7 linked regions of the Oryctolagus cuniculus genome follow. The protein of the gene in region 1 binds, or shares a complex with, the protein of each later gene. Links are inferred from orthologs where the notes say so. Each region holds a gene or a part of one and is shown in the gene's direction. Other genes may lie near its edges. The genes, in order: SNRNP200, ARMC7, CWC22, SNW1, BUD13, PRPF3 and CWC27.

Region 1 (4,003 bases):
ATTGGTTCACTCCCTAAATGGCCGCAACGGCCGGAGCTGCGCCGATCCGAAGCCAGGAGCCAGGTGCTTCTCCTGGTCTCCCATGTGGGTGCAGGGCCCAAGCACTTGGGCCATCCTCCACTGCCTTCCTGGGCCACAGCAGAGAGCTGGCCTGGAAGAGGAGCAACTGGAACAGAATCCGGCGCCCCGACCGGGACTAGAACCCGGTGTGCCGGCGCCGCAGGCGGAGGATTAGCCTAGTGAGCCGCGGCGCCGGCCAATACCCATCCTACTATTCAGTCATTTTTTCAGAAGCAAACATGCAAGCATTCATCTGTAAGCTGCCATTCCACCTGTGAGACATGGTAGGGGTGGGTGAGGGGGCGGTGCCTACCAGTCCTGGGCTTTGGGAAGCAACTGTTACTGTCCTCAAGGAGTTCCTCCCGCCAGGAGGGCTGCCACATTCACCCAAGTTCCTCGGTGAGGTGGAGACGGCCCTGCCACGGAATGTGACGCCTGAACAAAAAGATCTGGCCCTGCTCATTCCGCTGGGCAAGAACCAGGGCCTCGAGGGCATGGGGGTTAGTGGGATGGGTGGGGGACGGAGCTTTCTCTGTTGTTCCATACGGAAGAGAAACACACGATTCTGTTGCTTTCTAGCGCTTCAGTTTCCTCTTCCAGAAATGGAAGGCTAACTGGCCTCTCCTTGCCGGGGGCCTTCCCAGGGCTGTTGCCAGAGTCAGCGGAAGCAGCTGGAGAAAAAGGCCTGGGGTGGGGGTAAAGCCGCACCTGCCACACCGGCGCTGGTTCCTGTCCGGCTGCTCCTCTTCCGAGTCAGCTCCCTGCTAGTGGCCTGGGAAAAGCACTGTCAGATGGCCTAATGTTTGGGTCCCTGCCACCCACGTGGGAGACCTGGAAGAAGCCCCTGGCTCCTGGCTTCAGCCTGACCCAGCCCTGGCCATTGCGACCACCTGGGGTTATCCAGCGGATGGCAGACTGCTCTGTTTTTCTAACTCTTTCAAATAAATAAATATAAAAGAGGCTGCGCATAGGATAGGCGCAAAGGAGGCGTGCATCCCGATACGGTGGAAGGTGCCTTGGCCGGGACCCGAGGCCCGACCCCTAAGCACTGTGGCGCCCCTAGCTCTGAAGGGCCAAGACCCGGAAGCACAAGTCCCAACCGCTCCACCCAGAAGGCAGCGGGAAGCGGCGCGCGCCTGCCAGAAACCCGGCCCGCCCCGCACTTCCGGCGCGCGACCCGGAAGCGGAAATTAGTCCGTCTCCTTCCCCTCCGTTGCGTCTCTCCTGCGTTGTTGAAGTCCTCAACCGAGAGCAGCGCGGTTTTCAGCGTGCGGTGAGGAGGAGTGGATCTCTGAGAGCCAGGAGCGGCTGCCGCCATGGCGGACGTGACCGCCCGAAGCCTGCAGTACGAGTACAAGGCGGTGCGTATGGGCTTAGGGGAGGACTCGGGGGAGGCAGTGTAGTGTATAGGGGAGGCGGCAAGCTGCGAGTGGGAGGTTCAGTCTCAAGGCCTGCAGGAAAGCCACGAAATCGGAGGCGAAATCGGATCGGGGCGAAAGTTTGGGTATGCGACGATACGGATTATCGCACCGGGGCCTGGGGCGGGCAGGACAAGGCGGAGAGCTCTGTGGGACCGGGCTGCCAAGCCTTTCAGCGTTCAACCCGCCCCTTCACCTGTCCCTCTCCACTCGCTCAGTACTTCCCGCATGAGGGTTGTTATGGTTAGAAGCCAGCATTGTTCAACTGATAGACGGCACGTAGGGCTTATCAGCCCTGTGCTCGTGCTTAGCGTTATGTGTTGCTATTTCTTTTCAAATTATATACCTTTATATTCCGGCTAGTGGTTATTAACGCTCATTGTGACTCTTGAGCTGGGATCAGGGTGCTGCAGGAACTGGCCTCGCGTATGTCAGAGCTTCAGCAGTGGTCTGATCTTTTCAGAACTCGAATCTTGTGCTCCAAGCTGACCGGTCTCTCATTGACCGAACCCGCCGAGATGAACCCACCGGAGAGGTGCTGTCCCTGGTTGGGAAGCTGGAGGGCACCCGAATGGGAGATAAGGCACAACGGACCAAACCACAGATGCAGGAGGAAAGAAGAGCCAAGTAAGTACCGATGGAGTCCTGTTTTTCTTCAGAACCGAAGTCTGTCTTTTCCTTAGCAATTAGTAGTGTTTTTGTTGAAGTGCGTGTTGCAAGATTGGACAGCAGTGGCATTAAAACAGATTGGTGAAGGTAAAAGCTGAACATGAGAGTTTGAAGATTCTACGGCCTTAGCAAATACACTTTGAGGGCTGGCGCTGTGGCGTAGTGGGTTAATTCTCCACCTGCTCTGCCAGCATCCCATTATGGGCGCTGGTTCTAGTCCCAGCTGCTCATCTTCCAGTCCAGCCCTCTGCTTTGGCCTGGGAAAGCAGTAGAAGATGGTCCAAGTCCCTGTACCCGAGTAGGAGACCCGGAAGAAGCTCCTGGCTCCTGGCTTCAGATAGGCATAGCTCCAGCCACTGGGGCCATTTGGGGAGTGGCCCAGCGAATTGGAAGACCTTTCTGTCTGTCTCTCCCTCTCTATGTCTGTAACTATACCTCTCAGTAAATAAATAAAACCTTAAAAAAATAAATAAAGTACACCCAAGTGGAAAATACTGGTACCTTTTTGTGTTTCTGGTCCATAAACATCTTAATTTTCTTGAGGGTATCTTTAAGACCTTTGGTATTTCTCATCTCAGTAGGTTTTTAATTTTTTAAGACATTTATTTTTGAAAAACAGAGTAACAAATAGAGAGAAAGGGATTTTCCATGTGCTGGTTCATTCCCTGAGTGGTTGCAATGGCTGGGGTTGGGCCAGGCTGAAACCTGGAGCCTGGAATTCCATTTGGGTCTTCATGTGGGTGGCAGGAACACAAGTACTTGGGGCCACTTTCCCTTGCTTTACCAGCACATTATCAGGGACCTGAATTGGAAGCCGAGTAACAGAGACTTGAATCACTGCTCTGATGGGAGATGCTGGCATTACAGATGGCAGCATAACTGCTAGGCCACAGCACTGGCCCCTTTGTATTTTGAATTTATTTCATCTGAGAGATAGAGACAGGCCGATTAAAGAACTCACATCTGCTCGTTTACTTCATAAATGCCCATGTTAGCTGCAGCTGGTCCAGGTTGAGGCCAGGAGACTGGAAGGCAACCTAGGTTTCCTGTGTGGTGGCAAGGACCTACACACCTGAACCGTCTCCTGCTGCCTCCCAGGATATGTGTGTATTAGTAGGAAGCTGAAGCTGGAAGTGGAGTTAGAATTGAAGCCAGATGTTCCAATATGGGCTGTGGATGTCCAAGTGGCATCTTACTGAGTGCTGTACTGCATGCCTACTCGTGTTTTTAAATTAATGATAACCCTGTCTTGTAACATTTAGTGAACTTAGTGAGAGGGTGAACACTTCCTTTCTGTTACTGTGTCCTACAAAGAAATACTTGTGCAAATGATTAAGGTGAAATGGGGCTCATTTGTTGCGGTGCAGGTGTACGGTGATACTGAGGAGGGAGGGCTTGATTCTCTTCTTGTCTTGGGGAGGCAAGGTTCTCCTGTGGAATGTCACACTGTGTGTCCCTTAGGCGAAGAAAGCGTGACGAGGACCGGCATGACATCAACAAGATGAAGGGTTATACCCTGCTGTCGGAGGGCATTGATGAGATGGTGGGCATCATCTACAAGCCCAAAACCAAGGAGACCCGGGAGACGTATGAGGTGCTGCTCAGCTTCATCCAGGCTGCGCTTGGGGACCAGGTGAGGCCGCCAGAGAGTGAGTGCCTGTGCTTGGGAAGGGAGGGGGTGACGGCTGGGGGACACCAGAAGAACCTTGTCTCTGGATTTCCCTGTGTGGCTCATACCAACTTGCGGAAGTGACTAGTATTTACGAAGTGTTTGGTTGAAGTGAAATGATACTTTACATGGTTTTTTCCTCCTTTTACATCAACTCTATGGATTGATGCTATTAAAAAAAAATTGG
Region 2 (4,186 bases), on another chromosome or scaffold:
CCAGGCACTGGGCAGAGAGGGGCAGCAAGTTCTGCACAAAACCAAGGATTGGGAGTTCTCCAAGCAGGCCCTGAGGCCTTAGGAAGGGATAAGACCAGACACTGGGGGAGGCTGGGTTGCCCATCGGGCACCAAAACCTGCGGGTGTTTTCCTGGGAAAGCAGTTCCTGGCCAGAGAAGGGAGGAGCTCACCTCCGTGTGCCCTCAAGCCCCAGGCTCCTGGTCCCCAGGCCTTCGCTGCTCTGTCCAGCAACAGGCGGGAAGTCCCCTGGCTAAGACACACTTTCCCAGGCCATCCAGGATCCCCACAGAGTCAAAGGACAAAGGGCAGCTATGGTACCCAAGCACCAAGGCCAAGGTCAGAATGGCGCTGTGGCACAACTGGTTAAATCCACGGCCTATAGTGTCGGCATCCCATGTGGGTGCCGGTTCGTGTCCCAGCTCCTCCACTTCCAACCCAGCTCCCTGCTAATGTGCCTGGGAAAGCAGAGGAAGATGGCCCAAGTCCCTAGGCCCCTGCACCCACACGGGAGACCCAGAAGAAACTCCTGGCTCCTGGCTTCGGATCGGCACAGCTCCGGCCGTTGCGGCCATCTGGGGAGTGAACCAGCAGATGGAAGACCTCTCTCTCTCTCTGTCTCTACCTCTCTCTCTAACTCTGTCTTTCAAATAAATAAAATAAACCTTTAAAGAAGAAGAAGGTGTGCATAGGGCAGGGCTGCAGCCTGCGTCCACCGCAGCTGTACTTGGCCCAGGGATGCAGCCACATTCCTTGGCCCCAGGAGCTCACAGCTCCAAGCACCATGGGGATGTGGCAAGGCCTCCTTTCCTGGTGCTGTTCTCTCCTGAGAAGCTCCGAGGAGTCAGACCAAAGGGCTTCAGGATCCCGGGCCCAACAACGCAGAAAGCTGCAGCGGTCCACAGGGGCGAGCTGAGGCTCCTTCCAGGGCCCTCCGGTGCTGCCCGGGACAACCCAGCTGTCAGAGGCTTAGGGCAGGACCCCAGTCCTCGGGACTTCGGGTCAGAGGTGGAGGGCCCCAATGGGGTCAGAGCGGAGTCGGCCGGACTTGAAATCCTGAAGGGTCGCAGGGAGCCGACGCTGAGGCTCCAGGGGGACGTCTAGGGGAGAAGGCTGGGCTGCGACCGCCAGCGGGTGTGGGGAGTGTGCGTCTGCCTCGACAGCCCCCTATGTGGGCACCCCCAGATTCTGCGGCACTCCTGGGTCGCCCCGGCTCCTCGCCGCATACCCGACCGCGCACCTGTCTGCCGCGCGCGTCCCCGCGGGCCCGGAGCTCATTGCGCACGCGAGCCGAAGAGCTCCGTGACGGCCCCGCCCCTTCTCGCCTCGCCCCGCCCCGTCTCTCCCCGCCCCGCCCCTTCCGCCCTCCGGGGGCGGGACTAGCGCGGCTTCCGGCCGGGACTCTGACAGGATCCTGAGGGTCCCGCCTCCCACTTGCCGTTTCGAGCTGCGGATTCTCGCAGGACCTGAGCCCCCCGGCCGCTGCGGTGAGGGTCTCACGCGGCTGTCCAGGCTGCCTTCTGCCCTTGTCCCACCGGGCCCAGGAGCGCTCGGCCGCCCCGCCATGGCCCAGAAGCCCAAGGTGGACCCCCACGTCGGGCGGCTGGGATACCTGCAGGCGCTCGTCACGGAATTCCAGGAGACCGCGAGCAAAGGTGAGAGCCGCGGGTGGGCGCCGCCGCGAGCCGAGGGGAGAGCCGAGGGGAGGGCGCGGGTGGGCGCCGCGAGCCGAGGGGAGAGCCGCGGGTGGGCGCCGAGGGGAGAGCCGCGGGTGGGCGCCGCCGCGAGCCGAGGGGAGAGCCGAGGGGAGGCCGCGGGTGGGCGCCGCCGCGAGCCGAGGGGAGAGCTGAGGGGAGGGCCGCGAGCCGAGGGGAGGGCCGCGGGTGGGCGCCGAGGGGAGAGCCGAGGGGAGGCCGCGGGTGGGCGCCGAGAGCCGAGGGGAGGGCCGCGGGTGGGCGCCGAGAGCCGAGGGGAGGCCGCGGGTGGGCCGGCGCGAGCCGAGGGGAGGGTCGCGGGTGGGCGCCGGCGCGGGGGCCGAGGGGAGGGCCGCGGGTGGGCGCCGCGAGCCGAGGGGAGGCCGCGGGTGGGCCGGCGCGGGGCCGCCGCCCGGGACCGGCTCCAGGGTCGCTTTCCCGTTGCAGACGCCAAGGAGCAGGTCCTCGCCAACCTGGCCAACTTCGCCTATGACCCCAGCAACTTCCAGTACCTGCGGCAGCTTCAGGTCCCGGATTTGTTCCTGGACTCGCTGTCGGAGGAGAACGAGACCCTGGTGGAGTTCGCTATGGGTAAGGGGGGCCGGACCCGACACCTGCGGGGCTGCCGCGCGATGGGAGGGTTGCAAGGGAGTCGTCGGCAAAGCGGCCTTTAGGGGCCCCCCTTGTCGCCCCACAGGCCATCAGGTCACAGCTAATGTGCGGGAGTGCGGGGGTCCCACCCAGGCCCCACCCTCTGCCTAGAGATGGGATCGCAGACAGGGAATGGGAGGGAGCAGCTTGGAGGTGGATCTTTAATGCGACGATAATGTAGACTTTAAAGTCTTTGTCGTTTACTGAAAGGCAGAGAGAGAGAGATTGAGAGATTGCACCCACTGGTTCGCTCTGCAAATGGCCACAACTTCTCCCAGGTCTAGGCCAGGCCAGGCCAGGGCCAGGATCCGGGACCTTCATCCCTCAGGTCCCCACAGGGGCAACAAGGGCCCAGCACTGCCTTCCCGGCTGGATCAGAAGCAGAGCAGCTGGGACTTGAGGCAGGACTCCCGCCAGTTGGCCCACTGCGCCCTCATCCCTGTCCTCGTGCAGAAATGTTTGAAGTCCATACATAGGTTTTTTTGTGAGACTTTTTCATGAACTTGTAATTAATTAATTAATTTGAGAGGCAGAGAGACAGACAGAGCTTCCATCTGCTGTTTTACTCCTCAAATGACAGAAATAGTCAGGGCTGGTCCAGGCCAAAGCTGGGGGCCAGGAATTCTATCCAGGTCCCCCCCCATGAGTGTCACGGATCCGACTACTTGAACCCCTCATACAGTGCCTGCCCAGTGAATACAAGGATATTTCAGCAAGTTAATGGGAAGTGGAGTTAAAATATAAGGGTGTTTTTGGTGCAATTAAAAAAATTAAATTTTTTTCATAATGCACATATTCTATGAATTTTTAAAAATATTTCCCCCCACTCTACTGTACTCTTCTCTTCCTTCCTTCTTTCCTTTTTTTCTTTTCTTTTTTTTTAAGATTTATTTTATTTATTTGAAAGAGTTAGAGAGGTCTTCCATCCGCTGGCTCACTCCCCAAATGACCGCAGCAGCCAGAGCTGAGCTGATCCAAAGCCAGGAGTTTCTTCCAGGTCTCCCACATGGGTGCAGGGGCCCAAGGACCTGGGCCATCTTCTATTGCTTTCCCAGGCCACAGCAAGGAGTTGGATCAGAAGTGAAGCAGCCAGGACTTGAACTGGCGCCCATATGGGGTGCTGGAGCTGCAGGCCAGGGCTTTAACCTGCTGCACCACAGCGCCAGCCCCTTTTTTAAAAAAAAAAAAAATTTACTTATTTGGGGGACCAGTGCTGTGGCACAGTGGGTTAAAGCCCTGGCCTGAAGCGCCAGCATCCCATATGGGTGTTGATTCTAGTCCTGGCTGTTCCACTTCCAATCCAGCTCTCTGCTATGGCCTGGGAAAGCAGTAGAAAACGGCCCCCCTGCACCCACGTGGGAAACCCAGAAGAAGCTCCTGGCTTCAGATCGGTGCAGCTCCAGCCATTGCGGCCATCTGGGGAGTGAACCAGCAGACGGAAGACCTCTCTCTCTGTCTCTACCTCTCTGTGTAACTCTGTCTTTCAAATAAATAAAATAAATCTTAAAAAATAAGTTTATTTATTTGAGGCCAGCACTGTGGTGTAGTATGCTAAGTCTCTGCCTGCAGCGTCAGCATCTCTTACGGGCACCGGTTTGAGTCCTGGCTGCTCCTCTTCTGACCCAGCTCCCTGCTAATGCTCCTGGAAAGAAAGCAGCAGAGGAGCGCCCAAGTGCTTGGGCCCCTGCACCCATGTGGGAGACCCAGAAGAAGTTCCTGGCTCCTGGCTCCTGATTGGCCCAATTCCAGCTATTGCGGCCATTTGGGGAGTGAACCAGCAGATGGAAGATATCGCTCTCTCTCTCTCTCTCTCTCTGTAACTC
Region 3 (4,089 bases), on another chromosome or scaffold:
ATGGCAAGCTCCCAATGATCTAAATACTTCCTAGTGAGCCCACCTTCCAGACACCATAATTGGATTAAGCCTCAACCCTTAATCCTTCAACCATTAACATTGACCTGTTAATGGTTAACATAAGACTTTGAGGATCAAGTCCTCAACCTACAGACCTTTGGGGAACACACAAACTATCATCCAAACTGTAACAGTGGATAAGGCTAAGCAAAAGTCTTTGAACTTTCTCTCTTGGCCAAGAGAGCAATCAAAATCAGTGTCATATGTGAATAGTAGAGTTTAATGATACCCAGAATAGAAAAAAAAATTTTTTAAATGATATCCAGAAAAATGTCAAGGTTTTATGATAATGCCAACATAGCTCCAATTAATTTTGACGGTCTGATCTAAAGAAATCAACTGAATTAGGATAATTATTATAGACTATAGCAACTTCAACCAAGTATTAGCCCAATTGCAGTTGTATATCAAGCATTGCATCATTGATAAAACAGAATATAGGTGGGTACTGCTTTTACTCCTTACAAATCAGGAAATGGACACAGAATGTGAAGTAACTTACTCGAAGTCAATGATTCATGAATAAATCCATCGTTTAAGCATAAGTAGCCCAGCTCCATTTTGTTTTTTAATGCCTTTAATCTCTGCAACTAGGAAAGAGTTAGAAGCACAAATAACCTAAAATTGTAATGAAGTATTTGCAGAAACCAGTCCTGGTTTAAAAAAGCAAGAGAACTCCCCAAACAGTTAACAATTACTTGGACTTCTGGGTTTTGTGATTGCAAAAACGAAAGTTCAAGGAAATTGTTTGATTGAAGCCCTACCTCTGAACTCTGTATAAGACAGTTTCTAACTCAGCTGCGGAATCTCTTTATCTCGACAGTGTCTTGTCACCTGGTATCTTAGCCCAAAGAGAGACATCATCGTCTTCACAGAATTAGCTTCTCTCAGTCTATTAATGGGCTAATATTCTCTTGGAACTTAGTAGGCACTTAATCATTTAGTAACATTTTGCTTAATATGCTCTTGGTCAAACCAAAATGTCTGAGAGGATTTCTGTTTTTTAATATTTTCACGGAAACGTGACCACAGAGGACTACTTTTCTGCCAACCGCAGAGAAACAGTTTTGGATTATAATTAATCTTATCAAACCCTAATTACTCTCAGGTATTCTGTGAGCAGCCTGGAGGCAGTCGCAGATGCTTATATCCAAGAACTACAATTCCCATCGTCCACTGGGGCTTTCTCGCGCTAAAACTACAATTGCGGTTAGTCATTTCCGTCTGACGAGAGGGAGGATGCTGGTCTTTGTAGTTCGGGTCTACTTGCTTTTCGTTGCCGTGTTGGTAAGGAGACAGTATGATTAGATGCACTGCTTTCAATCTGGCGTTGTGATGTGGTGTTTAAGATAACCTAATAGGCAAAGCGCGTCAAACCCAAATGAGCGTCCGGTTTTTACGTACTTCACGCTCCGCCTTCCTCCTCTTGCCGGTGCCCGGGAAGGGGAAGTGACGTGCATCCGGTGTAATGGCGCCGCGGTGGAGCTCTAGGTAATTATCGAACTCGGTCGAGTCGTCCCGGGGAGGCAACTGCAGTGGGGGGTCGCGGGTTGTTGGACCGGGAGGGATAGTGAGGAGGTCTGTGGGCGGGGGGAGTATGCCGCCGGGTCCGGCTGTGGGCGGCCCCGGGAGCGCGTTGCCGTCCTCCCGCCACGCGCGGGCCCGCGAGGTTGGGCTAAGCGAGCGGGTTGGGCCGAGTCGCCCCGTCAGGTGGAGAGTGGGCAGCCGTGAGCTGGCTCTCCGCCTGCGCGGACGGACCTCAGGCTCATGAGGTTCCTGCGCCGTACCTTGGCCGTGTCTCAGTTGCTGGGTGACTGCATCCGAGCTGGTTCTTCCTCCCGCCGTGTGCAGTGTTTTGGGCGCGGGTCACTTCGAACCTCTCGAGTTAGGGGGCTTGCCCAGGCCCCTACCTAGTGCCCGGGTCCCAGGGACTCGGGAATAGGATTAATGAACTATAGTTCATTTAAGAGATAGCTAACTGACTTTAAAGCCTCTCGGCGGAGTACTATCCCTGTGACTCTCTTTGTAAAATTTCACTAGTGGTTTCTTTTTCATGTATTTGCCCTGCCATTTACTGATACTTACAGATGTTTAGTCCTGGGAACCCCTCCTTTTCCATTGTCTTCATCTATCATCTTTCGTCCTGCCGTTAGTTGAACCACTTCCAATAAGATTGACAACTCCTTAACTTGGTCCTCCGGTTCGTCACTCTCTGCTGAGCTCTGGAGTCCTACAATACACTTCAATGTAATGGTGATATGATAGTTAATTTTGCTTGGACTAACTGAAATAGCGTCTTTACCTGTATTTACTTAATCCTCCGTGCTTTGAGGGGAGTGAGAATGAGAAATTTGGGAAAAGGCTATTCTGGGTGTAGGAGTTGGGTGATTTAAATGTGATGAGTTTCCTTTGTGTTATGCGATATCAACAGACTAGAAATAGCAGATAAACGAACAAAGTTGGTCTTAAAAAAGATCAGTTAGCCTCCCTCTTCCCTATCTGCATTTAGATTTATTTAGGAACACAGGAGTTAACATCAGTTATCCTGTGGAAGGGCAGACTTAGGATTAGCGTTAAAAGTGCGGTTTTGGAAGCGTTGCTGCAGGCAGTTGTCTATAGGAGGAGGAAATGACTTGTGTGGGTGCTGGGTGATGGACTGGCAAGCCAGAGATTGCAGTCTTGCTTCAGTGATTATTAGATTTATCACTTGGGGCAAGTGTACTAACATCTTTAGTCTCAGAGTCCTTGTCTAAAGGTAATAATAGTTGTAATAATAACTGCCTGGCTCACTGGTTGAGTCTGAAGGCATTGCATGTCCGGCAGTGTGCTCCCGGGCTGGCCTCCGGTGTTTTAACATTGTTAATATATGATAGAGTTAATGAGTTTTCTCTGTTCCTTAGTGCTTGTTCTTTGCTTCTGAATGTTGCCACTTTTAAGTGCTCGTGTCACTTTTGTGGAATCTTTCCTAACTCATTGGAGTTCTGAGATTCTTTTACTGGTACTTTAGAGGCCAAAAAGCTTTTTCTATTACCCTGGCTTAGTGGTTCCTAAAATGTGGTTTTCCAAGTCGGCAGCACCGGTATCTCCTTGGAACTTGTTAGTCATGTAATAATTGTTGAATCAAAAACTGGGGCATGGGACCCATCTGTATGTTTTTTACCAGACCATAAAAAAGCTAATGCCTTAGAGATATGCTGTGGTTCCCCAAATCAGGTTGCCTGCCCTCTTTGTTCCAAATTATTTGATTCGTGGCCAACCAGTTTCCCATCATTATTATTTCACCACATCCTTCCCTGCTTTGGGTAGTTTGGCTTACTCACTTTTGCAATTCTGATGCTTCCTAGACTACTTAACTACTTTTATAAAACACCTTTCTTTGTTAGTTTTCTCATTTGCTGAATTGTTAGAGATTATCTCATAATTTTGCATTGCCAAATGACCTACAGTGGTTTGTATTTGACATCACTTCAACAAAGGAGACAGTGGCACTTTATGTGTCTGTAGTACCCTTTATGTGCCTATACTATGCCTTAACTTGAACGGTAGTTGCTATTTATTGCCATCTTGTATGTAGACTGAATTTTGCTCTACCTGGTTTATCCCTAACTTAGTCATGACTATCCTAGAGCTATTCTAAGTAAGAAAAAAGGGGCTATTGGTAATATATATATATATGATTCCACCTATGTTTTGGAGGGCTTCCTTGTTGAATTTCCCTTTCTGTTAAAGTCTGACAGTTCTGCCATTGGAGGGTAATGGGACAATAAGGCCTGCTGGTTTCCTACTGCAAGCATTTCTCAAGTGAACATTGAAAAGAGACATTTCGAGGCTTTCAACAAAGTACACTCTCAAAGCATTTTCTTTAAAAAGAGAACTTCAGGAGAAGAAGCAGTACATTAAAGCAGACCTTTGCTACTGTAGCCAGGCTAGCAAGACTTCCCAGTGAGCAGACACCAGAAAGGGACTATGGGCTGCTTAGGCCTGGGGACACATCAAGAGCTCCTGTAATTGAAGAATAGCTGGCTAAAG
Region 4 (2,786 bases), on another chromosome or scaffold:
TGTCCCTTTGCTGTGCAGAAGCTCTTTATTGTGATGAGATCCCATGAGTCGATTTTTCTGACCCAGAAACTCCTTTCCTTCCATGTCCTGAAGCATCTCCCTTTTTTTTATAGTAGTTTCAAAGTTCCTGGTCTTAACATGTAGTTCTTTGAGGTTTCCAATGTATAAGATCGTGTCTTCTGTAAACAGTGATGGTTTGATTTTCTCCTTTCCGATTTGGATGCCCTTTCTTTCTCTTGCCTCATTGCTGTGGTTAAGACTTCCAGTACCATGTTGAACAAAAATGGTTAAAGTGAGCATTCTTGTCTTATTCCACATCTTAGAAAACCTTTAGCTTTTCCCCTTTTGTTATGTTGTTGGTCAACATGGGATCTTTAAAAAATGAAGCTGTAGATTAACTTATGGGACAGGTTGTCAGAAAATTGATTTCTAGTTATCGTTAACTAGCTACTGGGACACTATAGGCCTGGAAACGTACTTTTCTGTTTGAATTCACCTAAGATTGATATTAACTCTGCATAAGTTGTGAGATCAAAGATCGAGTGCCTTTTCCTTCAAGGATCTTATAGCCTACTGAAGAAGATACACACAGAAAGACTGGCTTAGAATACAGAAGTGTAAGTTCCACTGGATGTAGAGGGGGAAGGGTTAATTACGACTTCAAAGTTTTAGGAAGATTTGAAGGCAATATCCTGGTAAGCTTGTATAAGTAACAATCATAAAGGTATTAGGTGCTTTTTGTATTCCTGGTATTGTTCTAAATCTTCTATCATCTCAAATAATACAGTATAAAGTCATACTGTGTTCTTTAGGTGAGGAAATTGAGAGGTTTAGCTAGTACTGATGAAATTAAGATTCAAGCTTGGATGTCTTGACTCCAAAGCTTTGTTCTTACCCACTATGCAATGGGAATTTCCAGAGCAAAGGGAGTTAGTGGTCAAAGTTCCACACAAGTAAATACTTTCACGACAACTGTTACAAGCTTAAGCTTAAAGCATTTAAAGTTGTGATGAAAACATCTCCATTGTTTAAGATTTCCGCTGAGGAAATACGAGGGATATAATACTTGTTACCGTAAATGGCATCAGAGAAATGTTTCATAGTTCCTGCATCTTCGTGTCTCTGAGTATACACAAATGAAAACGTCAAGTTTGCTCTTACAGTAGTAGCACCTTCCTGTGTTAATGATTTCTTCACATGTACCTGATCCAAGGCTGTGGGTGAGAATGTGATGGTGGTAGGAACAAAAGTATATGCACTTTATGACAGTTTTTTAATTTGTAGTTCAGCTTGCTCTCCAAGAGCACGGGTTTATATATTTAACATGATTGTAGTAAACAGATTCAGTTTCAGTAACGTGTCCATTTTCCCACAGGGTATGGACAGTGGATTTGCAGGTGGAGAAGATGAAATTTACAATGTTTATGATCAAGCCTGGAGAGGTGGTAAAGATATGGCCCAGAGTATTTACAGGCCCAGTAAAAATCTGGACAAGGACATGTATGGTGATGACCTAGAAGCCAGAATAAAGACCAACAGGTACAAAAGCAGACAGCTCCATTTCAACATTCACACCAGTGAAAACAAAGTAGTTCATAGTCCTTTCTCTTTTTCCCTAGGTTTGTTCCCGACAAGGAGTTTTCTGGTTCAGACCGCAGGCAGAGAGGCCGAGAAGGACCAGTTCAGTTCGAGGAAGATCCTTTTGGTTTGGACAAGTTTTTGGAAGAAGCCAAACAGCATGGTGGCTCCAAAAGACCTTCAGATAGCAGCCGCCCCAAGGAGCATGAACACGAAGGCAAGAAGAGGAGAAAGGAGTAGACGGCTGCGTCTCTTCAGAGAGACTGAACTGTTATCTGTAACCCTAGTGATGCAAGTCATGTGGGGAACACTTTGTAAATGGTCAGGATAAAACCAAATCGGTGTGCAGACCCCAGGGCTACTTTTTACTACAAGAGAAAGGGGATTGAAAATTCTACTTTGAATTAGATTTTTTTAAAGATTGAGTTCTGTTTGTGTGTCTCCCACCTGTCGGCACTTATAGAACATACTGCCCTACACACAAAATTAAGGCCACTTCCTTTTGTGTGATGCTAGTAGTTTGGGGTTCATATTTGTATAAGAATGACTGCTAAAGAATAAAGTTACCCCAACCACAGTGAGTTCACATACTGGAACTGTCCTGCCAAATGAATTTTGCCCCTATTGTGTTCATTTTATTTTGGAGTAGGGAAAGTAAGGTCTTGCTTAGAGCAACTATTTGTTTCAAATAAAAACATTTAGACAAAATTCTCAGTTACGTTTACTTTATTAAGTAGGCAGTAATTAAAACTCTCAAAAATCTTTCTCTTCATCAGATGTTTGATCCCCTTGCAAAACTTTTGGTCTTTGAGCTTGAACGTGCAGCTGAAAAAAATCAAGGCAGCATTGTAAGGAAAGGCAACGTCTGCAGAAACACTAAACGTGGCTACTTGAAAACCGCCATCTTAGGATTCCGCACCAGTAACTCCAGCAGCTGGTGATTCCTTTCTCTTTAGATTCCCTCGGCTTCAATTAAAAATCGTAAATCAGGCAGGCATTTGGTGCAGCAGCAAAAGTGCTGCTTGGGATGCCCAAATCCTGTATCGGAGTGCCTAAGTTCAAGTCCCAACATTGCTCCCAGTTCCAGCTTCCTAACACACACCCTGAGAGGAAGCAGGCAATAGCTCAAAGAGTGAGGGCCCTGAAAACCATGTGGGAGAGAAACCTGAGTTGAATTCCCTATTCTTGGATTTGGCCTGGCCCAGCCC
Region 5 (4,267 bases), on another chromosome or scaffold:
CATCTTCTGCTGCTTTCCCAGGCCACAGCAGAGAGCTGGATCAGAAGTGGAGCAGCCAGGACTCTAACTGGCACCCCCCATATGGGATGCTGGCACTGCAGGAGATTGACCTAACTCAATGATTTTTAATTTTGATTTCTCTCAAGTAAGATCATAAGATAAGGTCTGAGTAGATAACAGTGGAAACTATATTTTGTTATACTTGTTTAAAAAAAAAGATTTATTTGAAAGTCAGAGAGAGATAGAGAGAGAGAGAGAGAGAGAGAGAACTTCCAGCTGCTGGGTCCCTCCCTATATGGCCACAATGGCTAGGGCTGGGCAGGCTGAAGGCCGGAGCCAGCAGCTTCTTCCAGGTCACCCATATGAGTGCAGGTGCCCAAACACCTGGGCCATCTTTCACTGCCTTCCCAGGCACATTTGCCAGGAGCTGGACCAGAAGTCGAGCAGTGGGTAGCAAGGGCATAAGCACTCCTGGGCTGCCTTTCCTAGACAAGCAGCAGGGAGCTGGATCGGAAGTGGAGCAGCTGGGTCTCAAACAAATCCCCATATGGGGTGCCAGCATTAAAGGTGGCTTTACCCTCTATGCCCCAACACTGGGCCTGTTTTGCTTTTCTAAAGCTGAGAATAATTATAGCTTTTGTATTCATGATTAAACTACCCAGGTTAAATAAAATTTCAGTTATCTTTGCTGTTAACTGAAGTTGTATCCTTTCTCTGTTGGATCTGAGTTTGAGCAACTTCGATCTACAATAAGTCCTTTTTTTTTTTTTTAGACTTTTTAAACTTTTTATTATTTATTTCAAATAGTTACAGAGAGAACGGTAGAGACAGAGAGAGAGTTCTTCTATTCGCTGGTGCAAGGGCCAGAGCTGCACCGATCCAAAGCCAGGAGCTTCTTCCGGGTCTCCCACATTTGTACATGGGGCCCAAGGACTTGGGCCATCTTCTACTGCTTTCCCAGGCCATAGCAGAGAGCTGGATTGGAAGAGGAGCAGCCGGGACTAGAACTGGTGCCCATATGGGATGCTCGTGCTTCAGGCCAGGACTTTAACCCGCTGTATCATGATGCGGGCCCCTACAATAAATCTTTAATTTATCCTTTTTTGTTTTTCAAGTAAATTTTGTTTATTCATAAACATAACTTAGTTCACAAAGGTTTTTTTTTTTTTTTTTTTTTTTGGACAGACAGAGTGGATAGTGAGAGAGAGAGAGAGAGAGAGAGAGAGAAAGGTCTTCCTTTTGCCGTTGGTTCACCCTCCAATGGCCGCCACGGCTGGTGCACTGCAACCGGCATACCGCGCTGATCTGAAGGCAGGAGCCAGGTGCTTATCCTGATCTCCCATGGGATGCAGGGCCCAAGCACTTGGGCCATCCTCCACTGCCTTCCCGGGCCATAGCAGAGAGTTGGCTTGGAAGAGGGGCAACCGGGAAAGAATCCGGCGCCCCGACTGGGACTAGAACCCGGTGTGCTGGTGCTGCTACTTGGAGGATTAGCCTAGTGAGCCGTGGCGCCGGCCGTTCACAAAGTTTTTAAAAATTTTGTCTGCAGACTTTTAACATAAAGGCCTAAGAGTGACAAGCAGGTGTCGGGGGAATATATTAAAAACAAAAGTATCTTTGGTGATTAAAAAAAACTTGGAAACCTATTATTCTAATTATTTTACAGGGTTTTTCTAGTTGCAAAATATTACAAGTCAATGAAAAAGAGAATATTTGTAGCTTTGTTTCACTAAGTGTTGAATAGGGTCATCTGGGCAAAGACCACAAAGATTGTGAGCAGGGACAGAAAACCTTTGGCTGACTAGAGGAGTGAGAGAAGGGAAGACTGCCAGTGTTAGCAAGGATTGATCAGAAGTGTCTGTTCATATGTGGGGAGAAAAATGGGAAAGAGGCAATTCTTGACAGAGTGATATAAGCAAAGATATGAAAACATGATAGTGCAAGTCATTTTTTAGAGACAGTAAATGCATCAGTTTAGTATTAAAAGATGATGAGAAAGTAGTTTGAGGCTAATGTATGAAGGCCTTTAAAGATAAAACTGGGTGCTGGTGTTGTGGCCTATGGGTTAAGCTACTGCCTGCAGCGCCAGAATCCCATATGAGTGCTGGTTTGAGTATTGGCTGCTCCACTTCCAATCCAGCTGCCTGCTAATGCACCTGGGAAAGCAGTGGAGGATGGCCCAAGTGTCTGGGCCCCTGCACCCATGTGGGAGATCTGGAAGAAGCTCCTGGCTCCTGGCTTCAGATCCGCCCAGCTCTGGCCATTGCGGCCATTTAGGGAGTGAACCATCGGATGGAAGACACTTTCTCTTTGTGTGTGTTTGTGTGTGTCTAACCCTACCTTTCAAATAAATAAAATCTTTAAAAAAACATAAAAACTTAACGCCTTGGGAAAAGTTAACAGCTGCAAGTGTGATGGTGCCATGAAGATTCCAGTTCTGTGAAATGACTATTGACTTGCTTGAGGATGTCCTGTATTTTCAAGTATAAAGAGTGATGTCTGGTGCTTGAAGGTATTAACTTTTTTTAAGGTATTTAAGCGATAATCAGAGAGAGATTGTAGTGATAGACAACCAAGCGGGAACCTCATTTTATTAAAGTTTTTAAACAATACCTTACAAAATTTTGTGTGTGAATGAATTCTCAGTAAATCCCAAACAGCTTCTCTCAGTGCTAAAAACTGGCTGATAAGTGCCGTTGAATTCTTTGTAAACCTAACAAAACTTAACAGAATTTCTCATTCTGGGAAAGAAATGATTTTCTCTATGTAATTTCTTTAGAAAACTGCTTGAGAATAGTTCATTATTATGTGTAACAGTGGTCAGAAATATTTCTCTCCATGGTACAAAACAATGACTCAACCAAAACCTAGGAATGTAATCAAAATGCACCCATACTATTAGGTACAAGTTCAGACAGTCCCTGTTTGCCCTCCTTTTTATTACTCCTTCTTACCCCATTGTGGTTTAGCCTGACTAATCTATTTGCAACACATCAACATTCTGCAGAAGTTTTGTAGTTTCTATTTGAAGGGAACAAACTGGAGGGCTGTGGAAATTTCAGATTTCATCTCAGATAGTATTTGTTAGTAGTGTGTGTGTGTGTTTGTGTATTCTTAAACAACAATCCTTTTTTAAAAAGTTAGTGTCACTTGAGAGGGAGGAGAGACAGCCAGAGAGAGGGAGGGAGAGTGAGAAAGGGTGCTCCCACCTGCTAGTTCACTCCCCAAATGTCCCCATCAGCCAGGACTAGGGTGGTTTGAAGTTGGGAGCTGGGAAGTCAGTCCAGTTCTCCCACATGAATGACAGGGATCCAATCACTTGAGTCATCACCAGGAAGTACATTATTAGGAAGCTGTAGTCAGGAGCCAGGGCCAGGAGCACCTGGGAGGTTTTATTTATTTATTTATTTATTTGAGTGGCAAAGTTATAGACAGAGAGAGGGAGAGACAGAGAGGTCAGTCTTCCATCCACTGGTTCACTCCCGAAATGGCTGCAACAGCTGGAGCTGGGCCAATCTGAAGGCAAGAGCCAGGGGCTTCTTCTGGGTCTCCCATGCAGGTGTTGGGACCAAGAACTCTGGATATCTTCCACTGCCTTCCCTGGCCACCAACAGAGAGGAGCAGCTGGGACACAAACCAGTGCTGCAAGTGGAAGCTTAATCCACTAAGCCACAGCGACAGCCCCCCTGTAATGTCATTTAAATGAAGCGAGGAATGAAGGCTTCCTCTAGAGGAACAGCCTTTAAATGCAGAAAAGGGAGCAGACGTTTAGCCCAGTTAAAATGCCGGTTAAAGACATCTCTGCCTGATATCTGAGTACCTGGGTTTAGCACCTGGCTTTGGCTTCTGGCTCCAGCTTTCTGCTAATGTAGACCTGTGTGGCAATGATCATAGCTCCAGTAATTGGGTCCTTGCTATATGTGGGAGACCCAGATTGAGTCCCGAGTTCCTGGCTTTGGCATGGCCCAATCCTGGCCATTTTGGGCAGTTGGGGAGTGAACGCCACTGGATAAAAGCTCGCTCTCTCGTTCTCTCTCTGCCTCTCAAGTTTAAAAAAAATCAAAGAAGAAATTAAAGAGGACAGTGGCCTTGGGGACAGGGAATGGAGTGTGCTTGGCATATAATTTAATATGTCAGCAGAGAAGAGTTCCACAGTAAGCTGGAACAGCCCTGCTGATGTAATGGGTATAGTCTGAGGGAACGGAAAAAAGATCGTTTAGCAGAAGGAAAAAAAAAAAAGATTGTAGTATCCTTAGAAGGCCTTGAA
Region 6 (3,500 bases), on another chromosome or scaffold:
TTTTTTCTTCAGTGGTTATATATGTAATATTTATGTTTTAAGATTTATTATTTATTTGAAAGGCAGAGTTACAGAGAGGCAGAGGCAGAGAGAGTGGTCTTTCATCTGCTGCTTCACTCCCCAGATGGCCACAGCGGCCAGTGCTGGTGCCAATCCAAAGCCAGGAGCCATGAGTTTCTTCTGGGTCTCCCTCTTGGGTGCAGGGGACCAAGGACTTGGGCCATCTTCTGCTTTCGCAGGCCATAGCAGAGAGCTGGATTGGAAGTGGAGCAGCCAGGTCTCTAACTAGTGTCCATATGGGGTGCCAGCAATGCAGGCGATGGCTTTTACCCACTGTGCCACAGCACCGCCCCAGTAGTCATATGTTTATCTTCATTTATTTCAGTAATCCTTTTATCCTCACTCAAAAAATGCGTTTGGATGACAAATATTTTTTCTACCTTTGTGTTAATTTAATGTTTTATTTTATTCTTTTGAATATGTCTTCTGTTTTTAAATGTGTTTGTTTATAAGACCTAATTCTTTTTTATAAAAATGGTACATTATTACAAAGTAGTGAATGCTTGTAAAGATTTTTTTTTAAATTCTAACTTTACAGAACACTTACTGAAAAATGTCCTTTTTTTATTTTCTAATCCCGTAAGTCCACTCTGAGTTAATTACTATTTACAGTTTTTCATGTATCCTTTTAGAAAGCTTTTATGCATTCATGGTGACTACATTATAAGCATCTAGAGAACAAAGAATGTGTAGGTCTTTACACTGTCAAGAACAGTGCACTGGAATGAGTACTGGTGCAGTGATTAAGATCCTGCTTGGGACACTCATCCCATATCTGAGTGCTTGGGTTCAAGCGCCAGTTCTACTTCTGATTCCAGTTTCCTGCTAATGTGCACCCTGGGAAATAGCAGATAATGGCCCAAGTACTTGGGTTCCTGTTACCCATATGGGAGATCCAGTTTGAGTCCTGAGCTCCTGGCTTTGGCCTAGCCAAGCTTTGGCTGTCACAGGCATTTGGGCAGTAAACCAGCAGATGGAAGATCTGTTTGTTTCTGTGACTCTCTTTCTCTCATGTCATTCAAAATAAAATGAAAATAAACAAAAATTTTCTAAAAACCAAAGAATAACAAACTTATAAATATTTTTGGATAGCAGTAAATAACTTCCTCATTGTTAGAGTAAATTTTGATCAGCTGTTACTTGTAAAATGTATAGTGCTAGACTGTGAAGAAATACAACATAGTGGAAATATTTGCAGACTCGTCAGTTCTACCTTCTAAGTATTCATGTATTTGTTTACTCCAGAGACTTTTGTTTTTTAGAGAGAAGTCTGTTTTGGATCCATTCATTTATTTGCCATTCCATTCAGGCAACTACCTGATGCTAAAATGGAAGACATAACTAAGCTTTCCCTTCTCCAGAGTTCGAAATTTGAGCAACCCAGCCAAGAAGTTCAAGATTGAGGCCAATGCTGGGCAGCTGTACCTGACAGGGGTGGTGGTACTCCACAAGGATGTCAACGTGGTAGTAGTGGAAGGGGGTGAGTCTGAAAAAATTGAGGGAGACTATTCCCAGACAGCCATAGGCCTACAGTGATTAGCATTGTGGGGAAAAGGAAGAATAAGATAGTATCACAGTGCATACTTGGGTGTAATATACTGAGCCTCTGTTGATGTGTTTATTGGAGTAGAAGGCCCCGAGATGTGGTTCCCGGGATTGCTTCAGCTACATTGACCTCTTGGAGTATTAGATGAGCTCAGAGTTTCTTTCTATCCATCATCTTCCACAACTCTGCAAAATTCTCCTTCTCTGTTTCTAGGCCCCAAGGCCCAGAAGAAATTTAAGCGTCTTATGCTGCATCGGATAAAGTGGGATGAACAGACATCTAACACGAAGGGAGATGGTGAATGGGGGCAAAAGGGGTTTAAGTGGGAGAGCCTGGGAAGTGGGGATGGTACACAGATCTGTTTATATTACTTCCTTCCCTGTGACACTCTAACACTAGATAGTGTGCAAAATTTTAGAAAGACCCATTCAGACTCGGGGACTACTGAATAGTGATTGAGTATTTGTTACATGATCATATGCATGAGTGTTAAAGTTCTTCTGCCTATGCTTTTTTTTTTTTTTTATCTTTTATTTAATGAATATAAATTTCCAAAGTACGACTCATGGGTTACAATAGCTTCCCCCCCCCATACCGTCCCTCCCACCCACAACCCTCCCCTTTCCCACTCCCTCTCCCCTTCCATTCACATCAAGATTCATTTTCGATTATCTTAATATACAGAAGATCAGCTTAGTATACCTTAAGTAAGGATTTCAACAGTTTGCTCCCACACAGAAACATAAAGTGAAAAATAATAGATGATTTTTTTTTTAAATGATGATGAAATCAGATCAGACCTATTGTCATGTTTAATCCCAGTGAGAGTCAAGTTGGGAATTGATAATTTTTTTTTTTTTTTTTTTTTTTTACAGAAGATCACTTTAGTGTACATTAAGTAAAGATTTCAATCGTTTGCACCCCCATAGAAACACAAAGTGAAATATACTGTTTGAGTACTCGTTATAGCATTAAGCCTCAATGTACAGCACATTAAGGACAGAGGTCCTACATGAGGAGTAAGTGCACAGTGACTCCTGTTGTTGACTTTACAAATTGACACTCCTGTTTATGGCATCAGTAATCTCCCTATGCACCAGTCATGAGTTTCCAAGGCTATGGAAGCCCCTTGAGTTCTCCGACTCTTATCTTGTTTAGACACGGTCATAGTCAAAGTGGAGGTTCTCTCCTCCCTTCAGAGAAAGGCACCTCCCTCTTTGAAGACCTGTTCTTTCCACTGGGATCTCACTCACAGAGATCTTTTTGCCAGAGTGTCTTGGCTTTCCATGCCTGAAATACTCTCATGGGCTTTTCAGCCAGATCCGAGTGCCTTTAGGGCTGATTCTGAGGCCAGAGTGCTATTTAGGACATCCGCCATTCTATGAGTCTGCTGAGTATCTCACTTCCCATGTTGGATCACTCTCCCCTTTATTTATTCTATCGGTTAGTGTTAGCAGGTACTAGACTTGTTTATGTGCTCCCTTTGACTCTTAGTCCTTTCATTATGATCAATTGTGAACTGAAATTGATCACTTGGAATAGTGAGATGGCATTGGCACATGCCACCTTGATGGGATTGAACTGGAATCCCCTGGTATGTTTCCAACTCTACCAATTGGGGCAAGTCAGCCCGAGCATGCCCCAAATTATACATCTCTTCCTGCCTATGCTTTAAGGTTTCTTTAACAGCTGGTTTTCCTAACTGTCCTAGGTCTGAGTACTAGTTACACACATGAGTGTATTTGGTATGTGAAAATTCAACAGGCCATGCATTTGAAGGTTTATTATACTGTTTTTTTTGTTTTGTTTTGTTTTGTTTTGTTTAAGATTTATTTATTTGAAAGAGTTACACAGAGAGAGGAGGAGAGGCCTTCCATCCACTAGCTCACTCCCC
Region 7 (3,500 bases), on another chromosome or scaffold:
TCGTATTCAGTCAAACTCGAGTTCTTGCTCCCCACCAAATTCTTTGCTTCACTGAGATGCCATGCTTTCTGCCATATCCAAGTTAACTTCTTTCTTCTCTATCAAGACTTCCTAATGATTCTAGAGTCCAGATACTCATACTACAGGAGATCATATATAACCTATCCTGTATGTTTATGACTTCTAAATTGTATATTTATATATAAATGTAAATAATTTCATTAATTTAGCAAACAGATTTGTAGTCTAATTGGACTCACATATATATTATGTTAATTATTTACCTTGTTTAGTAAAAGTTTCTTGTGGAGAGTGCATTGATGGTGGTAGACCTACAATCTGAATAATTTTGATATATTGTGTGTTTGTTTGTTGTTTGCATATTAATGAATTAATTCTCCACGGAGTGAAGAAAAGAAGTAGGAAATAAGAAAAGCAGGAAACTGGATCAGCAACAAAGTAGCCAGGGCTCAAACTGGCACTCCCATAAGAGGTTCAGACACCCCACACAGTGGCTGAACCTACTGCACCATAATGCCTGCCTCTCTGATATTTCTAACAATTTCTTTTATAACTATTTTCTTAAATTCAGGATTCAATAAAATATCACAGATTTCATTTGCTTGATATGTCCCTAGTTGTTGTTGTTGTTTTAAATATTTATTTATTTATTTGAGAGGCAGAGTAACAGAGAGGGAGAGGCAGAGAGAGAGAGAAGTCTTCCATCTGCTCATTCACTCCCCAGTTGGCTACAGCTGCTGGAGCTGGGCTCATCCCAAGCCAGGAGCCAGGAGCTTCTTCCAGGTCTCCCACATGGGTGCAGGGGCCCAAGGACTTGGGCCGTCTTCTACTGCTTTCCCAGGCCATAGCAGAGAGCTGGATTGGAAGTGGAGCAGTCGGGACTTGAACTGGTGCCCATATGGGATACCGACACTGCAGACGGCAGCTTTACCTGCTATGGCACAGTGCCAGCCCTGATATTTTTTAAGAAATAGGAAAAATAAAGTATTGGTTTGGGAGCTGAAGAAAACCAATCTTGGATCAAGTTGTATATTAGCTCTGACAATGGTAGATGGGCTTGATTTTAGATATTGCTAAATTATTTTTGGTTTTTTTTTTTCAGCTTATTATGACAACACCATTTTTCATAGAGTTGTACCTGGTTTTATAGTTCAAGGAGGAGATCCTACTGGCACAGGGACTGGTGGAGAGTCTATCTATGGAGCCCCATTCAAGGCAAGTGAGCTTGGAATGCTTACTCAAAAACGATGTGTCCCTTAAGAAAAAAAATTCCAAAAAGAAATGTTAGTATGCAAAATCAATGTCTGTCACATATTTAAGATTACACAGCATAAGAACAACACTTTTCCCATCAAGCATTCTTTGTAAGTTGTCTTAATGTAAGATTTTATACTAGAATTAATTCAGGGGGAACTCAAGGAGGTAGTGAAAAAGACATGGTTCAGAATAAAGATAGAGTATTTCCTGATGTCTGTCTGTATTGAATATCTGCAGCTCTGTAAATGAAAGCATTTTTTAAACACTGCATATGCTATTCTACTTTAAGTTTTATGTAAACAGTATCTGGAATCTGTAGTAGACTGCTCATCCTGCTATCACCAAATACCAGGCTGGATGGCTTCAACAGTAGGGTTTGTTTCTCATGGTTCTGAGGCTGAGAAGATCAAGCAGTGGTTCGCGGTCAGGTCTGTTTTTCTGGCTTGCAGATGACTGCCTTCTCTGACATCCTCACAGTGGAGAAGGGAAAGAGAAGTCTGGAATCCCTTATTTTTATAAGGACGCAAGCATTATTGGACTAGGGGCCCATCCTTATGACATTGTTTTAACCTTTATTACCTCCTCACGGACCAAAATATAAGTGACATTGTGGGCTAGGAGCTCAGTGTATGAATTTGGGGGTTACACAATTCAGCTCACAGAAGAATATATTCTAAATCATGCACAATAGATCTCGCGGCACAAAATGCACACCACAATTGAAAAATCACAACAGGAAAAGCAACATAAAAAGTGTTAGAAAAAGATACATTAGGAATAGGTCAGTGATTTCTTAACTACCAACAAATCTTAGAAGAACAATGAGGTAATGTCATAGTTAAGATAGAAAGAACTGTGTGTTCAAGTGAAAACTAAAATTTGTGTTCATTATTAACTGCTGGTACCTGTATCATGTTCTTTGAATGAATGAACATCAAAAGCTCTTAGAATTTAGAAGTTTTTGAAAACTTCATATTTCTGTTAATGGGGTAGAATGTCTGGAGTTTCCTTTCTTCTCTGAGTTACTGTGTGAGTCTTCAGAAAAATACTTTATGAATTGTTTGCTTTAATTTCCAGATGATAATGGCCTTAGGAAATAGGAAATGATTATGAAAAAATTTAGATGTCAAGTTAGCCTATTTATATTTACCAAAGTAAAATGACTCATAGTTTTAGAGCCTCTGTCTAGTAGGAAGCATTCCTTTATTCTAGTATTTGGTGTAACAGAATAGCTTTTTTTACAATTCCTTTCTGATTAATTTTTTGCTTTTTTATTTTCATATACTACAATTATTTTGTTAAATTTTTATGTTAGGTAATTTAAAATACAGTATATAGAGTAATGATTCATTGAATTCAGATCTCTTTGAGAATTAACTTATTAAGGAAAAATAACTTCATTTATGACAAGCAGTGATTACATTCATGGCTACATTATACATAATGCAAAATCAGGTCTGGATGGAAATTCTGTGTACTCAATCTTAGCCAAAAGGCCTAGAACCATTGGATATTCTGTAAACAAAGTGGCTTATGTATGTGTTAAGTAACCCTATCATGCAAGATAACCATCTTAGAAAGGCTTGCTCCTGCCCTTTCGGAAACTAGCAGATTGGACCAATGCCAGTTCAGAGAAGATTCAGCTTAGGGCTTCAGTGAAGTCACAGTGAAATCATTTAACATAATCAGAATAAATTCCTTTAATTAAAAAATGAGAAGAAAGCAATTGTTTTACGACATTTATAATGAGATGATGACTATTACCTGAAGACTCTGCAATGACTCAACATTGTTTTCTTGAAGAAAAAAAAGATTTTAAAAGCTTGGATGGTTTTGAGGGATAATAATAGGGAAGTGAATCTTAGAAATCTACTCCCAAATGAATACCCTTCCCCTGCATGTTAGTAGACAGCTTTCCACAAAATATGCTGATCTGTGGCTGAGTATGTCTAGAATATACTTATAGGTTAGTGATTTCTAGTTTAAGTGCATTAAAAGTATAAATATTAGACTTGATTACACTTAAAAGTCAGTTAAATTAAACTTATCATTTTTGTTAGTATTTTGAGATTTTGTTAGTATTTTGAGATCTTACTGGTCAGGTAAATAATCAATTGAATTTGAAATATCTTATAACTGAGAACATTCTCTAAATATTTTTTGTACCTCAGGATGAATTTCACTCTCGGTTGCGTTTTAATAGGAGAGGACTGGTTGCCATG

What was found.
Region 2: SNRNP200 (region 1) and ARMC7 share a complex: the UniProt entries of both Homo sapiens proteins name them as parts of the minor spliceosome. The link is inferred for Oryctolagus cuniculus from reciprocal best matches to the Homo sapiens genes SNRNP200 and ARMC7.
Region 3: SNRNP200 (region 1) and CWC22 share a complex: the UniProt entries of both Homo sapiens proteins name them as parts of the minor spliceosome. The link is inferred for Oryctolagus cuniculus from reciprocal best matches to the Homo sapiens genes SNRNP200 and CWC22.
Region 4: SNRNP200 (region 1) and SNW1 share a complex: the UniProt entries of both Homo sapiens proteins name them as parts of the minor spliceosome. The link is inferred for Oryctolagus cuniculus from reciprocal best matches to the Homo sapiens genes SNRNP200 and SNW1.
Region 5: SNRNP200 (region 1) and BUD13 share a complex: the UniProt entries of both Homo sapiens proteins name them as parts of the minor spliceosome. The link is inferred for Oryctolagus cuniculus from reciprocal best matches to the Homo sapiens genes SNRNP200 and BUD13.
Region 6: SNRNP200 (region 1) and PRPF3 share a complex: the UniProt entries of both Homo sapiens proteins name them as parts of the U4/U6-U5 tri-snRNP complex. The link is inferred for Oryctolagus cuniculus from reciprocal best matches to the Homo sapiens genes SNRNP200 and PRPF3.
Region 7: SNRNP200 (region 1) and CWC27 share a complex: the UniProt entries of both Homo sapiens proteins name them as parts of the minor spliceosome. The link is inferred for Oryctolagus cuniculus from reciprocal best matches to the Homo sapiens genes SNRNP200 and CWC27.

Annotation. Positions count from the first base shown.
Region 1 is NC_091433.1:111,275,318-111,279,320, forward strand, and holds the start of SNRNP200 (U5 small nuclear ribonucleoprotein 200 kDa helicase), read left to right. Parts: upstream 1-1,203; 5' UTR 1,204-1,376; coding exon 1,377-1,421; intron 1,422-1,941; coding exon 1,942-2,105; intron 2,106-3,608; coding exon 3,609-3,780; intron 3,781-4,003. UniProt on the Homo sapiens protein: Catalyzes the ATP-dependent unwinding of U4/U6 RNA duplices, an essential step in the assembly of a catalytically active spliceosome. Plays a role in pre-mRNA splicing as a core component of precatalytic, catalytic and postcatalytic spliceosomal complexes.
Region 2 is NC_091448.1:5,404,931-5,409,116, reverse strand, and holds the start of ARMC7 (armadillo repeat-containing protein 7), read left to right. Parts: upstream 1-1,386; 5' UTR 1,387-1,582; coding exon 1,583-1,673; intron 1,674-2,159; coding exon 2,160-2,303; intron 2,304-3,667; coding exon of another isoform or gene 3,668-3,696; exon of another isoform or gene 3,697-4,186. UniProt on the Homo sapiens protein: As a component of the minor spliceosome, involved in the splicing of U12-type introns in pre-mRNAs.
Region 3 is NC_091434.1:61,056,119-61,060,207, forward strand, and holds the start of CWC22 (pre-mRNA-splicing factor CWC22 homolog), read left to right. Parts: upstream 1-1,289; 5' UTR 1,290-1,551; exon of another isoform or gene 1,552-4,089. UniProt on the Homo sapiens protein: Required for pre-mRNA splicing as component of the spliceosome. As a component of the minor spliceosome, involved in the splicing of U12-type introns in pre-mRNAs. Promotes exon-junction complex (EJC) assembly.
Region 4 is NC_091451.1:23,412,519-23,415,304, reverse strand, and holds the end of SNW1 (SNW domain-containing protein 1), read left to right. Parts: intron 1-1,375; coding exon 1,376-1,539; intron 1,540-1,619; coding exon 1,620-1,818; 3' UTR 1,819-2,286; downstream 2,287-2,786. Other genes in the region: SLIRP (SRA stem-loop-interacting RNA-binding protein, mitochondrial), read right to left, coding at 2,332-2,403. UniProt on the Homo sapiens protein: Involved in pre-mRNA splicing as component of the spliceosome. As a component of the minor spliceosome, involved in the splicing of U12-type introns in pre-mRNAs.
Region 5 is NC_091432.1:108,946,649-108,950,915, reverse strand, and holds the start of BUD13 (BUD13 homolog), read left to right. Parts: upstream 1-1,467; 5' UTR 1,468-1,498; intron 1,499-4,267. UniProt on the Homo sapiens protein: Involved in pre-mRNA splicing as component of the activated spliceosome. As a component of the minor spliceosome, involved in the splicing of U12-type introns in pre-mRNAs.
Region 6 is NC_091438.1:47,633,445-47,636,944, reverse strand, and holds part of PRPF3 (U4/U6 small nuclear ribonucleoprotein Prp3), read left to right. Parts: intron 1-1,421; coding exon 1,422-1,540; intron 1,541-1,819; coding exon 1,820-1,903; intron 1,904-3,500. UniProt on the Homo sapiens protein: Plays a role in pre-mRNA splicing as component of the U4/U6-U5 tri-snRNP complex that is involved in spliceosome assembly, and as component of the precatalytic spliceosome (spliceosome B complex).
Region 7 is NC_091445.1:85,773,957-85,777,456, forward strand, and holds part of CWC27 (spliceosome-associated protein CWC27 homolog), read left to right. Parts: intron 1-1,123; coding exon 1,124-1,236; intron 1,237-3,449; coding exon 3,450-3,500. UniProt on the Homo sapiens protein: As part of the spliceosome, plays a role in pre-mRNA splicing. Probable inactive PPIase with no peptidyl-prolyl cis-trans isomerase activity. As a component of the minor spliceosome, involved in the splicing of U12-type introns in pre-mRNAs.